3 linked regions of the Schizosaccharomyces pombe genome follow. The protein of the gene in region 1 interacts with the protein of each later gene in a pairwise test. Each region holds a gene or a part of one and is shown in the gene's direction. Other genes may lie near its edges.

The links. The genes of interacting proteins can lie anywhere in the genome.
Region 2: the proteins of SPOM_SPAC6G10.10C (region 1) and hrb1 interact in a two-hybrid assay, tested with the Schizosaccharomyces pombe proteins (one large-scale study listed by BioGRID).
Region 3: the proteins of SPOM_SPAC6G10.10C (region 1) and mto2 interact in a two-hybrid assay, tested with the Schizosaccharomyces pombe proteins (one large-scale study listed by BioGRID).

The regions. Positions count from the first base shown.
Region 1 is NC_003424.3:3,235,156-3,239,235, reverse strand, and holds SPOM_SPAC6G10.10C (uncharacterized protein), read left to right. Parts: upstream 1-1,912; 5' UTR 1,913-2,234; coding exon 2,235-2,819; 3' UTR 2,820-3,057; downstream 3,058-4,080. Other genes in the region: ubi3 (ubiquitin-40S ribosomal protein S31 fusion protein), read left to right, coding at 874-1,326; glucosidase I Gls1, read right to left, coding at 3,090-4,080.
Region 2 is NC_003424.3:3,482,775-3,487,988, forward strand, and holds hrb1 (RNA-binding and mRNA export factor), read left to right. Parts: upstream 1-1,881; 5' UTR 1,882-1,903; coding exon 1,904-1,924; intron 1,925-1,953; exon of another isoform or gene 1,954-1,961; coding exon 1,962-2,291; exon of another isoform or gene 2,292-2,466; coding exon 2,467-2,568; intron 2,569-2,607; coding exon 2,608-2,709; exon of another isoform or gene 2,710-2,807; coding exon 2,808-3,200; intron 3,201-3,281; coding exon 3,282-3,728; 3' UTR 3,729-4,182; downstream 4,183-5,214. Other genes in the region: spg4 (AAA domain-containing protein), read left to right, coding at 1-1,360; ubiquitin hydrolase Ubp2, read left to right, coding at 4,551-5,214.
Region 3 is NC_003423.3:492,895-497,455, forward strand, and holds mto2 (gamma tubulin complex linker Mto2), read left to right. Parts: upstream 1-1,784; 5' UTR 1,785-1,847; coding exon 1,848-3,041; 3' UTR 3,042-3,117; exon of another isoform or gene 3,118-3,234; 3' UTR 3,235-3,529; downstream 3,530-4,561. Other genes in the region: idh2 (isocitrate dehydrogenase (NAD+) subunit 2), read right to left, coding at 1-189, 344-392, 440-586, 690-761; dual-specificity MAP kinase phosphatase Pmp1, read left to right, coding at 3,919-4,561.

The DNA.
Region 1 (4,080 bases):
GTACATGAACTAATGCTGTGACAATTTTGATAATTTATCAACTTGTATCTGTCTTTTGTATATTTATTCATCACCCTAGTATTGTGTATAACTCTGCATCATCTAAAATCTACAGATTAATCTTTGTGAAATGGAAATACAACTATGAAGTTGTTCGTATCGTTGAACGGCTGAAATGGTAAAACTAGTTTCCCCAAACCTGACAAACAACTTGGATACATGAGTAAGAATTAGTGTTTGCTTTCACTCGCACCGATGTTTAGTCAACATATGTTTAAGTTGGTATTTCTAGGGAAAACTTGTATTTAATTACTATAGTATGCGAAGTATTTCATTGGAAAACAGTGGTTGTAGTATGCTGCCAAGCAAGCATTTATTATGATAATAATAATTCAACAAATTAATCACTATGACTTAAACAGAGAAACCAATGATTGTTTTAACTATTATTGCTGGTCATTGGAGGAAATTTTGTCGGCAAGAGAAAAGATAATTCATTTCTATTTGCAAAGAACCAAAAAATACGAAAACTCGTCGTAGCTTATGCAAACACAAAATCACAGGTTTACAAGCCTTTACTACACTAAATCACCATATATGAATCATTCAATAGGATATAATTGACATCAATTAGTGACAAACTGTCGATATTAATACAAGGGAATCAGGATTTTCATTTCAGCATTACGATTTTAAAAATTGTGAGAAATGTTAAATTGTGTTATATAATTAACGCAAACGTTAATTCTCAGTACGAGAAACTTGCGTTACACCCTAACCTACGTGAGTTAAAACCAGTCACGCATCCATATATCACAATGCAACATCAATATTTTCCTCCATCCGCGAGGAAGAGGCAATACTTTGCTGACGATGCAGATCTTTGTAAAAACCCTTACGGGTAAGACCATTACCCTTGAGGTTGAATCCTCTGACACTATTGACAATGTCAAGAGCAAAATCCAAGATAAGGAAGGAATTCCTCCTGATCAACAACGTTTGATCTTTGCTGGCAAGCAACTCGAGGACGGACGTACTTTGTCTGATTATAACATCCAAAAGGAGTCCACTCTTCACCTCGTTTTGCGTCTTCGTGGTGGTGGTAAGAAGCGTAAAAAGAAGACTTACACTACTCCCAAGAAGATCAAGCACAAGCACAAGAAGGTTGAGCTCGCCGTCCTCAAATACTACAAGGTTGAGGATGATGGAAGCGTTAAGCGTCTTCGTCGTGAGTGTCCCAACTGTGGTGCGTCCACCTTCATGGCCAACCACAAGGACCGCCTTTACTGTGGTAGATGCCATTTGACTCTTAAGTTGGAAAACTAAACTTGAATGAAATAGTATTTTCTACTGTGGTCTAGACATATCATCATGAGCAGTAATTGTAGAATATTAAGATTGAAATAAGCTGTAAAACTTTTAAAAATAATTTTATAAGTAGATGCATGAGACTATAAATTGTTCAAAATGAGTATAGATTCATCACTTGGTTCAGTGATCGTTTTGAATAGTACCTGAGCACATTAGCAACTCGTGGAGTACTATTTTGCTCAATTCACTTTTTTTCAGAATTAGAGAATGAAAGAAGATTTCTTCAAATTCATGTGTAGTCGTTACGATTAATACAACCTAACTTTTACATACAAGTAGCATGCGAATACTTTTTGGTCGTCGAAAAATCATTCCAACCAATATCTAAATAAATTTCTTTTGCATGCAACTATGTTAAAACGAAAAATTAGCCTTTATATTAAAAAAAAAAAAATATTCTATATCTTTGAACGAGAGTAACAAAAAAGGCTCTTCATTGAATTGAAAGCCTTGGTTAGTACTATCTGCTTTCCATTTAGCGAATTTTAAACCATCGTTATTTCATTGGATATACTACGAATTATTAACATTTTAATAGCACGCAGACGCGACTACAACCTAGGAGTAAAAAAGTCTGTTTAAACTGGTTAATTTTGATATTTATTTAATCTTTGAAATCAAATTTAGAGCTATTGTTAAGAAAAAAAAAATCAATATTCCACCCCAACTTAAAAACTTTGATTTAAACGACCCAATATTTCAAAAACAGTTATTTACCACTCAATTATTTTTATTATTAAGTTAATTCAATCAGACACTGGTAGCGCAGTTTTTAATTCAAACATTTTGCGATTTTTCGTCTGAATCCGTTTACTTCTTGCTTAACGTCTATCGTTACAATAATTAACTAGTTATTTCGAACCATGGGTCCGTCTGGTGCCGGTACACGTGGTGGTCAAGCCCAATTCCAATGGGAAGAAGTGAGAAATGATAAACAGAAAGGAAGATATTTGGGTCAATCTATTTATGCCGCCTCAGGTCGTTGGGCTGAGGGTAAGGATTTGGAGTGGTGGTCTAAAGGTAGAACCACCCAGTCTGCTATAAATTCGGAAAATTCTGATAAAGAAAAGTATAAAAAAGAAATTTTAGAGATTAAAGAAAGAGAGCAAAGGATGCTTGCAGAAGCTTTGGGTCTTCCGCAGCCTTCTGCTCTCGCACTAACGTCGTCAAAAGCCGCAAACCGCTCTTCAACAAATACTGAAAAAGATTCCAGAAGCATTGCCCATAGTACCTCCCGATCAAGGTCAACTTCTCCGGCTAACCGCCATAGAAGAAAGGAAAAAGAAAGAACACGAAGCAATCATCGACATGGCTCTCATCGTCGTCACGAACCTTACCGTACACATTTATCTAGGCACCATAGGCATAGTACCACCAATTATCATTCAAAAAGAGACGACCGCTACGAAAGAAGGCGTGAACACTCCCCAAATGATGGAGGAAGTTGAAACGAAAGTACATTAATTCGATCAATTCTAGTGTTCTCTTAATTTCTTAAAAGTTCCCGTTTAATATGTTTATTTCCTTTTGTTTTTTTTGATGATTGTTCTTAAATACGAAACGCAGTTCGCAATGCGTGCGACGAAAAAAATTTTTAGGCTTATATATGACCTTTCTAATAGTATGAGCATTACAAAATAATCACTTTTCATTTTCTATTCTCGAAAGTTTAAAAATATGAACAAGTCATAAAGAAAATAATCCAATAATTATCATTCTCAATAATTTTCAGACATAATGTTAACAACTAGACTGGTCCATCCAGTAAAGTCCTTGGTTCGTTGACCCTTACCAGTGGTGGGATCGTATTGTTCCCAGAAAATACCGGTTTGGCGCCAATTCTCAAAAACATTATTTACAACGTTAGTACGTAGCTCTTCATAAATCGACCTTGCAAGATTTTGATTGGGACCAGGGGTATTAATGTAATTTTGATATAAACTACTAAGGATGAGATAATTCATATTAATCCATATAGGGCCTCGCCAGTAGTTTTCTCCGGTTCCAAAGTAAACATCGTTCATACTTAAGCTTCGGATTCCATAAGGAGACCACAACTCATTTTCGTCCCTAATAAGTTTCAACAAGCTAGTAAGCCTACCACTATCAGCAGGAAGCAAACCAAGCATCATTGGCAGTAGAGTAACATATCCTTTATGACACACATTAATAGGATCATCGTATTCATCAACACTTGAATCACAGTAAGCCTGTACTTCTTCATCCCAATGATTGTCTTCGAGGTTTCGAAGCATTGCATTTTCATAGCCAGCCAATTTCTCTGCTTCCTCGGTTTCGCCTAAAAACTCAGCGACAAAATGTAAACTTCTGGTAAATGAAGTCATCCAGCTGAGTAAATCAACATGAAGCTCAGCAGTACTAGGGGGTTGAGCTCTAGGGTAGTCATCCAGTCCGCTTGCCAGACAATGCTGATAAGTACGTCCACGCCAGCGATAGCCTTCAACTTGAGAAAAGCATTCCCGTTCCCAGGTTTCGAAATCTCCTTTTTGTGTTTCACGGAACCACTCATAGTGACGAAGAAGAAGAGGAAAAAGATCACGAAGAAACTGTACAGACTTTTCAGGGTTAGAAATGGAGACAGAACGAAGGTATTCAAGATCATCCAAGGAATAGTCTTCACCTTCACCACTAAAACGATTATTAAGTTTTCCTTGTTGTTCCTGAAGTCTTTCAATATATCCTTTTAAG
Region 2 (5,214 bases), 250 kb from region 1:
CTCACCCTTCAAAAAGAAAACGCAATCCCATCTCCCTAATCGTACCACTGAAGTACCTTCTATATCAAAACAGTTATCAAAGTCATCTACCTCAATCGCAACCGTCGCGCCATCTCTCGCTTCTGTTTCGTCAGTTACAAAATCGCCATCTCCCACTCCTCAGTCAGCTCCACGAGCTCAATCTGCTTCCACTGAAACTGCGCAAGATCTGGATTTCCTTACACCGCCACGTTTATCTGTGAACAACCCTTTTCTGAGTGATCTCTATCCAGCTTCCGAACAGGGGCTTTCTTCCTGTGAAGAGAAAGATTCGCCGGTTGATGGCGATGAATTTTTCAACCACACAAACGAAGAAGAGATTATTGAAAAGCAGTTTCAATCCACATCTATCTCTGCAATGACTTCTGAAAAGCAAGAACAAATTCTGCGTGAATGTCCAGACATCGACGAAGAGCTTGGTAAGAGTATACTTCGAGAAATCGTGGTTTCGGGTGATGAAGTTCATTGGGATGATATTTCTGGGTTAGAATTTGCTAAGCACTCTTTAAAAGAGGCAGTGGTGTATCCGTTCTTGCGTCCAGATTTGTTCCAAGGCTTGCGGGAACCAGCTAGGGGGATGCTTCTTTTTGGGCCTCCAGGAACTGGTAAGACAATGCTTGCGCGAGCTGTTGCTACTGAATCCCGTTCTGTCTTTTTTTCTATTTCAGCTTCTAGTTTAACATCCAAGTTTTTGGGTGAATCCGAAAAACTTGTTCGTGCTCTCTTCACTTTAGCAAAAAAGCTGTCTCCAAGCATCATTTTTGTTGACGAAATTGATTCACTGCTTTCTGCTAGAAGCAGTGATGGAAATGAGCATGAAACATCGAGAAGAATAAAAACAGAATTCTTAATTCAGTGGTCTTCGCTTGCAAGAGCAGCTGCATCTCGACAAACCGCCGATCACCCAAGAGTTCTAGTGCTTGCCGCTACCAATTTGCCTTGGTGTATCGACGATGCTGCTCGTAGACGATTTGTCCGTCGTACCTACATTCCCCTCCCTGATGAGACCACTCGTCGCTTACATTTAAATAACCTTTTAAAATATCAGAAGCATTCTCTTTCCTTAGAGGATATTGAGGCTATTGTGAAAGCAACCGAATATTACTCTGGCTCTGATTTGACAGCATTGGCAAAAGACGCAGCTATGGGGCCTTTGCGAAGTTTAGGTGAGTCTTTGCTATTCACGAAAATGGAGTCGATTAGGCCGATTAATTTAGATGACTTTAAAACTAGTATCAAGGTAATCCGGCCTAGTGTGAACTTGCAAGGGCTGGAACGATATTCAGAATGGGACAAAGAGTTCGGATCCCAAGGGCATTGAGTCTGTCTTCTTATTTAAAATTCCTAGCCTGATACCGATTTTTTTGGTAATCACGTTGAAAATTTATTTATTGTCTTTTAATACATGGCTTGTGCAAACTTATGATTATAACTAATAAGGACAACTTTTGCCTCAAGGAATTATTCATGATGATAATAATGGTGCTGTACCAAAAGCCTTTTTGTTTACTCCTAATATATTCGTTTGTCTCTTTTTTGTTGATACAATTTATGCACAGTCTTTGAATTTTTCAAACACTTAATATTAACTGAGGTTATCTCTAACCCTAGTTATTGTTTGAGTTTCCATTTTTATTACGACTCATTTACAAACAACTAAAACTCCTTACTATGATTAATTAGTCAGTACATGTCAATATTTATAATTTAAATGTTTACAGTTTTTTTATTCTATTGTTCTTTTAGCGAATCTAAGAGTTTACAGTATATCACTTACGAAATTATATTGCAGTTACACTATAGAAGTCAAGTTGTTGGGATGCTTTAATTATGTGAAGATGCACACTCAGCTTATGCTCTTGCGATGCCTAAACCTATAGAATGGGTATGATAACTATTGATTGATTTAGCTGATCAAATAGAATGAATTTGATTCAGGAATGGGTAGTAAGTTGGATGTGTCAAGTTCCTTGAATTCATCGTCTTCCAATATGGATCGTGACAGATCGGAGTCTCCGAAGCGACATGTCAACGGAAGCAATTCATTGAAACGTGGCTTGCATTTTGATGGAGAGCACACTGAAAGAGACCCTCACTTGGGAAATGGCCAAAAGTACACTCAACAAGAGCGTCGCGTGTATGTTGGTAATTTGTCATATCAAGTTCGTTGGTTTGAGTTGAAAGAGTTTATGGGACAAGTTGGCAATGTTCTTAATTGTGAGATTTTGAATCTTCCGAATGGATTATCGAAGGTAAGTTTGCTTCATAGAGGGTGGGTTTCATGCGACTAGTAAATCATTGTCTATTTAAATTGTAACGTTGAATCGATCCAATTGAACGTTACTTTTAAACGATTACTTATGGCCTATAGCTTATCCTAAAATTTGTCGTATACTCAGATTGTGAATAGTCTAGCTAATATATCAGGGATGCGCGATAATTGAGTACTCTACTGCTGAAGAAGCGCGCACGGCAATTAAAACTCTGAGCAACCAAAAATTTATGGGCCGTCTTGTTTATATCCGTGAAGTAAGATTTTTTTTATGTCGCTTATTAACCTTCGTAAAGGATCGAGAACAAAATGCAAGATTTGGCTCCTCTTCAGTATCGCCTAGCGCGTCGTCGAATGGCAAAGATTCTGAGCCAGACAGGCAATTGTTTGTTGGTAACGTAAGTTCAATTTCTAATCCTCTATATTCTTTTCCTCGAACTTTGGTATTTTAATGAATTGTGGAATTGCAAATAAGAAATGGTACTAACGAGTATAGTTACCGTATAACGTTCGCTGGCAAGATTTAAAGGATTTGTTTAGACAAGCTGGTTCTGTTATCCGAGCTGATATCCAAATGAACCAAGAAGGCCGATCCCGTGGCATTGGGATTGTTGTCATGAGTTCGATGAAAGAAGCCATGCATGCCATTCAAATGTTGCATAACACTGATTTCATGGGCCGCACTTTAGAAGTTCGCCTAGATCGGTTTGCACATCATAAAAGTAAGCCGTATTCCACTCATGGAAATGGCTATACGTTTCCAGCGGAAATGCAAATGACTACATCATCCACCTATCTACCCATGTTAGGTGCTAATACTCAAGTCGAGGATTTAGTTTATCATGCGTATCCCCATGGACCCTGCTCGGATTGCATTTACGTTGGAAATGTATGTATATAAGGACGCTTTTGTGGGATTAGTTTTCCGCATCATTTTAAGTTTTTTTTGGAGATTACTGACTGAATATAGTTACCTTGGGCCACCTCAGATCGCAATTTATTGGACCTATTCACAGATATTGGCTCAGTCATTCGTGCCCGAATCGCCTATGAGCCCACTGGCCGATCTAAAGGTTTCGGTGTCGTTCAATTTGAGAATGAAAATGATGCAGCATCCTCAATTGAAAAATTAAATGGTTATCGTTATGGCGGGAGACCCTTGCAATTATCATACGCTCACTATGCGACTCCACTACCTGCTGTCCCTACTGTGCTCTCGGGTCTTCCTTCAGTCGCTTATACACCACCTGTTATGCATATCCCTACAACGAATTCACCACTAACGCCCCAATCTTTTACAAATTCTTTCTTAGGCTATCTACCGATTTCAATGCCCGTTGCAAACATGCCCGCTATTGCTCCTATTTCTGTAGCTTTACCCGAAAATAATATTGAACATTCTTTGGAGCCTTCTTAAAAATTCGCCAATACATCTGAACTTCTTTTCTCTTTACAATTAAGCACATTTCCGTAGTGTGAATGGCTAGCTCAGTGACGACATGCGCAATGTTCTAAGGCAGTTATCCTAATATTGTTTGCTTTTCTCTATTTTTTCTTCAAATTTTTGCTTTAATTCCTAATCCCCAAATATTCTTATTTTCCATGTTTATAGATTTATCTCTTTTGTTTGATTTCAATTTTTTGCTAAGATCTTATTCTTTTCCGTGACACACCAAAGTATGCTGATGGCATATATATTCGTCTCTCGTTCTTCTAATTGAAGTCTTTTTAATTTTAGCTTTACTGTTTTTTTACAGGATGCCTAGTTTCCTTCTTTTACAATTGCTAACCATTTCATGGTTTTAATGATATTTTAGATTTTTAGACTTCCATTCTGTTAACTTCCAGTTAACCAAGTTTAATCTTTATTGATTAACTACATTATTTTTAAAGTAAGGTGTATTTAGGTTAAAAATCTTATTTAAGCATAATGGTAAATTTCGTATAGCGAAATGTAGGTGTTGATTGTTTCTTACCTTCTTTAGTAGCCTTATCAATGAAATACAAACATTTACTTCTATCTTATTCCCCACATTCATAAAATTGATGGTCGCATACCTGGCTGGCATATGTAAGACGACAAGCATCATACGCATGAAGTCTACCTACCGAGTCCTTTACTCATGAAAAATCCTTCAATCTGTACGTTCTTTCCGTTTGGACGTTTTTTCAAGTATTTTTCATAATAAAAAATTTAAATTTCTTTATTAAAATTATTTACATCAAACTATAAAGAGGAATGGCAACTGTAAAGAACTTGCGAATTGGCAAAAGTCCTAATCGGTTGATTCAAGATTTAGACGTCTTTGATAGTCCATCAGCTGGATGGAATGATCCTTGGAGTCCTCATAGCTCAAGATATCACTGGCAGCTTCATTCAAATTTAGGCGAGTCCGCTGTATTTGACGAGAATGACTTTTGGTGTGTTTGTCAAAAAACTCGCAAACACTTACATGTGAAAGTCCGAAGAGACAGGGGGAAGCCATTAATTGAAGAGCCTGAAGAAAATTATGGAATAAAAGATAGGATTCCTGTTTACTACGAAGAAGAGGAATTACCTGAACCTCATGTGACTAGCCCTACGAAAAGTGAATTCGCTACTACCTCTACTTGTATGAAATGGAGTAGCAAAACAACAAAAAGTGAAATTGAAGTTGAATGGAGAGATAGCTATCTTGATGCTAATTGTATCAAAGAGATAATTGATTCCCGACGTCCATCATTTGCTTCCCTTTTAACTAAAAAATCGTCATCTCATCAAGGGTCATCCCATTCATCCCAACCTTCTCTTTTTACTACATTTACTTCTTTGGAGTTGTTTTTACGAAACGTGTTGGTCCATAACGATCAACGTGCCATTAGCGCTGCCCCGGAAGGAACTTTTGAGAGACATGTCGGAAAGG
Region 3 (4,561 bases), on another chromosome or scaffold:
TATCATAAGGTGTTTTGTATCCCGTAATAGATACACAGGGACGAACATTGGCAAACAAGCCGAAAGTACGACGCAAAGTAAGGTTCATAGAAACATGACCCTTCCCAATTGGGGTTGCCAATGGACCTTTCAAAGCCACTTTATTTTTCCTAACAGATTCCTTAGCATCATCAGGAATAGTAGTAGTACCTAAACGAATTAGTAAACGTGATTTTCGTGCGCGATAATCTCGAGGAGACATGGAAGGACTTGACAAGCAGGAACAAGCATTGCTGACAAAAACGTATAAAAGAAAGGCCAAACTGCATACAAATCCAACCATCTTCTCTTATACTTGACATACCATTTTTCAAAATAGGATATACTTTTACACGTTCCCATTCGATAGGGACCTACAATACAAGTCGTTAATGACTAAATGACGGATGACTCGACAAACCTTTGCAGCCTTAAATATACGTTCTACAGACTGAGCAATTTCTGGACCAATGCCATCGCCAGCAATCATCGTTACTGTGTAGTTCCCGTTGGCATTCTTTACTCCTTCATATGTCCCAGCGGCAGCCTTCGTTGAAGAAAATCTCTGCTAAAAATAACTCTGTTAATATAATCGATCAAATAATCATGAAAAGACGAGTAAGGCTGCTTAAACCAGCGATTTATCGCTTAGGAGCCAATTCACAACTTACAAAAGAGTAACAGGCGCTTCTTGAAAACGTCCGTAAAGAACCTGCAGTACGTAAAGTAGAAAGCATTGACATTGTTTTTTTATAACTAATGTAGCATGTATGGAGAGTGCAAGATGTCGGACCGTGATATAAACAAAGGATTCCGAGAGTCGTCGCATCATCCTTAATTTGACTTTACCGAATTTTGTGGAGATAGAACGTGGAGTTAAGCAAGGGTAATTGAGTGGAGTTTAACCATTTAGAAAGCCCCTCGAAGCGGAATGAGGAATTGTTATTACATAGCGCTCTTTTTTACTGCATTGTCTATTATTGCGTTATATAGTTTTTAACGATAATTTCAGTAGTACATAATTATTAATGTTGTTTAAAAAACACATCTATTTGGTTCTTGAGGTATATTCAGTAACTAAAGATGTAATTGTCTAAATTGAGAGGATAATTCGACGAATTGGTTTTGCTTGAATTAAAAAAATTGTAATTTTGTAGCTTCACACTGGTGTTATTGATATCTTGACTTTTGTATTGTTCTCAACTGGAAAATTAGTGTTGTCATATACTAGGTGTGCTTTTTTAATTTTTCGGATTATGCTTTATTTTCTCAATTACTCTTCCAAATATATTCATTCATTCAACAAAAAGATGTTTTGCTATTTGTCTTAAATAGTGTAGCATTTTAGAATACGTAGTTCCTATTTCAAACTATCTCAACCATACACTCACTAAAAACAATAACGATTATTGTGTGTTAAAGGCATTTAAAGATTTTTTAGGAATAGTTAAAAAAGCATAGTGACATGTAACGAAGCGTACTGTTTGCCCGCACAGTCGAAGTTGCCGCTTAGAATTAAGCTTCGGTTAATAAAAACTAGCAAGTTATCCTAACGAACTGTGGGAAAAGCTTATTCAGGAAAACTTCGTGGATCCCGTTAAAATACGTTATGATAACTAATAGCGAACTGTCTTGTTGCTGTGTTTTGCAATATTACTTTTAAATAGTATAAGACAGTATGTTAAGTTAGGTTTTCAGAGTGCATACTCTATTCGTTAATTCGTGCTTTCAACTCTTTATCTTTCAAGAGTGCAAGAATCTCTTGCAAATTCGAGCTTGGTCTTGCAACTGTTTATTCTAATCCTCCAGCGTCTTGCTGGTGGTTTCGCATGTCTGAACATAATTACCAGTCTGATAGGGAAGTGGCAGAGGATCCTTTTCTTAATTATGAAGCCTCTGCTAATCAATTATCCTCAAATTCGCGCGAATCTACTCCAAGAGGTTCACCATGGCGCGCTGGTATGAGATCCGCATCTTTAATGACAGAACCTTTAGAAGATTCCATGTATAGCGATAATAATTATTTAGACAATGGGGTCTCTTTTACAAAAGATGAAAATCCTCTTTACTCGCCGTCTTGGCCGAGTTTGGCGGATGCAAACGTGAATTCAATGAAGTCTAATAATGCTATACAGGAGCATAAAGCAGCGAAATTTGTTTCTGAAAAGTCTTTGGAAAAAGTATCGACTGCAGATAATAACCTTGTGCTTCAGGAGCTTGAAAATCTCCGAGAACGCTTAAATCAAGTAGAGCTTCAACTCAGTGAGCGACCCTCTTCCTACTTAGGCTATCATAACAATCTTAGTCCATATCGTTCTCCTAACAGTTACCCTTCTCTTTTACCCTCTACTCATTCACCTCACTCACCGGCGCCGCTAAGCACGATGCAAACGGCTCTTATGCGGCTTCGCACTTATCATCCTTCGCCCATCATTTTAAAGCCCGTAGAGCAAGCTGTAAACCATGCAATCACCTTGGTAAACACCTCTCCATCGAGTGTGGTGGATGCGTTATGCCGAAGCCTTGCCGAATTGTGTCTTGGCTTGGTGCAAGAAGCGATCGATGCATCTATTTTGAGTCAACAGGAAAGCTCAAACTCTTTAGATCTTGTCCGTCATACACCACCATTGAATTATACCAGTTCTGTTGATTCTTCACCACAACGTATGGCCTCTGATAGTTATGGTAGGCCTTCTCTGCATTTAAATGACCCCTTTCCATCAGTTGATCTTCAATCAAATGAACTTTCTCATCATAATGTTAGAACAACTCTCTTTTCTGATGATTCCCGATTTCATTCAAAAATTCATACACATTCTACTCCTCCTTCTCAAATGTATAGTGCTGCATCTCATTTCCGGTACCGTAGCGATCCATCAACCCGTCATGTCTCGAATTCTACAAACAAATCGAGCTTGCATCCATCACCAACGTCTTTGCGAGTTGCTCATCCTATTATCCCCCAGAGGGCGTCTCCAGCATCACAGTCTTTTCCTTCTCTTCAAGACACTCCTTCCCCCTAGTTCGGCCTATTACAAGTTTAATTTTGAATCAATTTTTCTTTGTGTTTATCAAGTAAATCAGGTTCTTCTCATACATGTAAGTTCATACAAACATTGATTGAGGAGTGCTATCATTTAATTTGTCGTCCCTCTCGTACAAGTTTTTATTTTTTTTATATCGCTCATTTCTTTAAGAAGTTGCTAATCCTACTAGGACGTCTATTTTAATGTTATTGGATCTGGCTGCATCTCTATTTGCTGCATTGCTTGCTCAAACTTTATAGTATGAGAACGTCTTAAAATTTGAGGTTTTGTTCATCTTCTCATCAATGCTATTTTTTTAAAATTGATAATTCAGTGCAGATCTTTTCATTATTTAACCATATACGATAATTTAGATTTGGGAAGTGGATGTCTTCTTCGCAAGACGAAATGGTACATTGTGTTTAATTAGCTTTATTTCGCACCTGATTTATAAAATGAATCAGATAATTTAACTCGTTACTGTATTTACTTTTAGTATCTTTCTATATTCAAGTTTACCAACTTGTTAAAATGCGTTACCTCTGTCACCTGTAGAAAAGCATCAAATGCTGTAGCTTGGTAGGAGCTCACAATACTTCCATACATCTTTTCAGTCTATCATCAATTATTAGAACACTGAAAATTTGTATTCTCCAGTTATCTTCTTGCAAGTTAAATATTATAGAGGAAGCTAAGTTGAAATGGTTATTGGTGCCATGAATGTTTGAAGGTAACTCACAAAATGAATTCTGAATCAGCGAAAGAAAATGCAGAAGAGCAAATTGAAACGAAAGGACGTGCATTGAAGTCCTCAACAAATATAGAACGAAAAGAGTCTTCCTTACAACCGCTTCGATCAAAACTTCCTTTGAGAATGTCTCAAAAACTACCTCCCTTAAAAATTTACACCTCCCAACTTCCCCTGGTTTCCCACAAAAATATGTTGGAAAACGAAGAGGAAGCTAGTCATTCACAATTGTTTACTCCGTGTCCTGTCCCTCCATCTTTCCCGAAAGCATCTAAACCCAATTCTAATCAGCCGTACCCCAATGGCCCTGTTTGTATCTATCCCCCAAATATTTACTTATATGCCAAACCTACTATGCCCATTATTCAATCTTTTGATGTTGTTATAAACGTGGCGAAGGAAGTTTTGCATCCATTTCGCACTGATGGCCGTCATTATAGAGATTCTAAACATAACCTGGACATTCAAGTATTTGATCACATCGAATATGTTCACATTCATTGGGATCATGATACACAGTTTGCTTTGGAACTTGATAAGCTTGTTTCTTTTGTAGCTTACAATGCCATGCAACTTAACAAAAAGGTTTTAATTAATTGTCAAATGGGCATTTCTCGCTCTGCTTGTTTGATGATCGCGTTTATAATGAAGACATTAAACCTAAATGTTTCTGATGCTTATGAGTACGTTAAAGAACGATCTCCATGGATAGGTCCCAACATGTCTTTGATTTTTCAGCTTTCAGAATATCAACAAATTATTCGTAAAA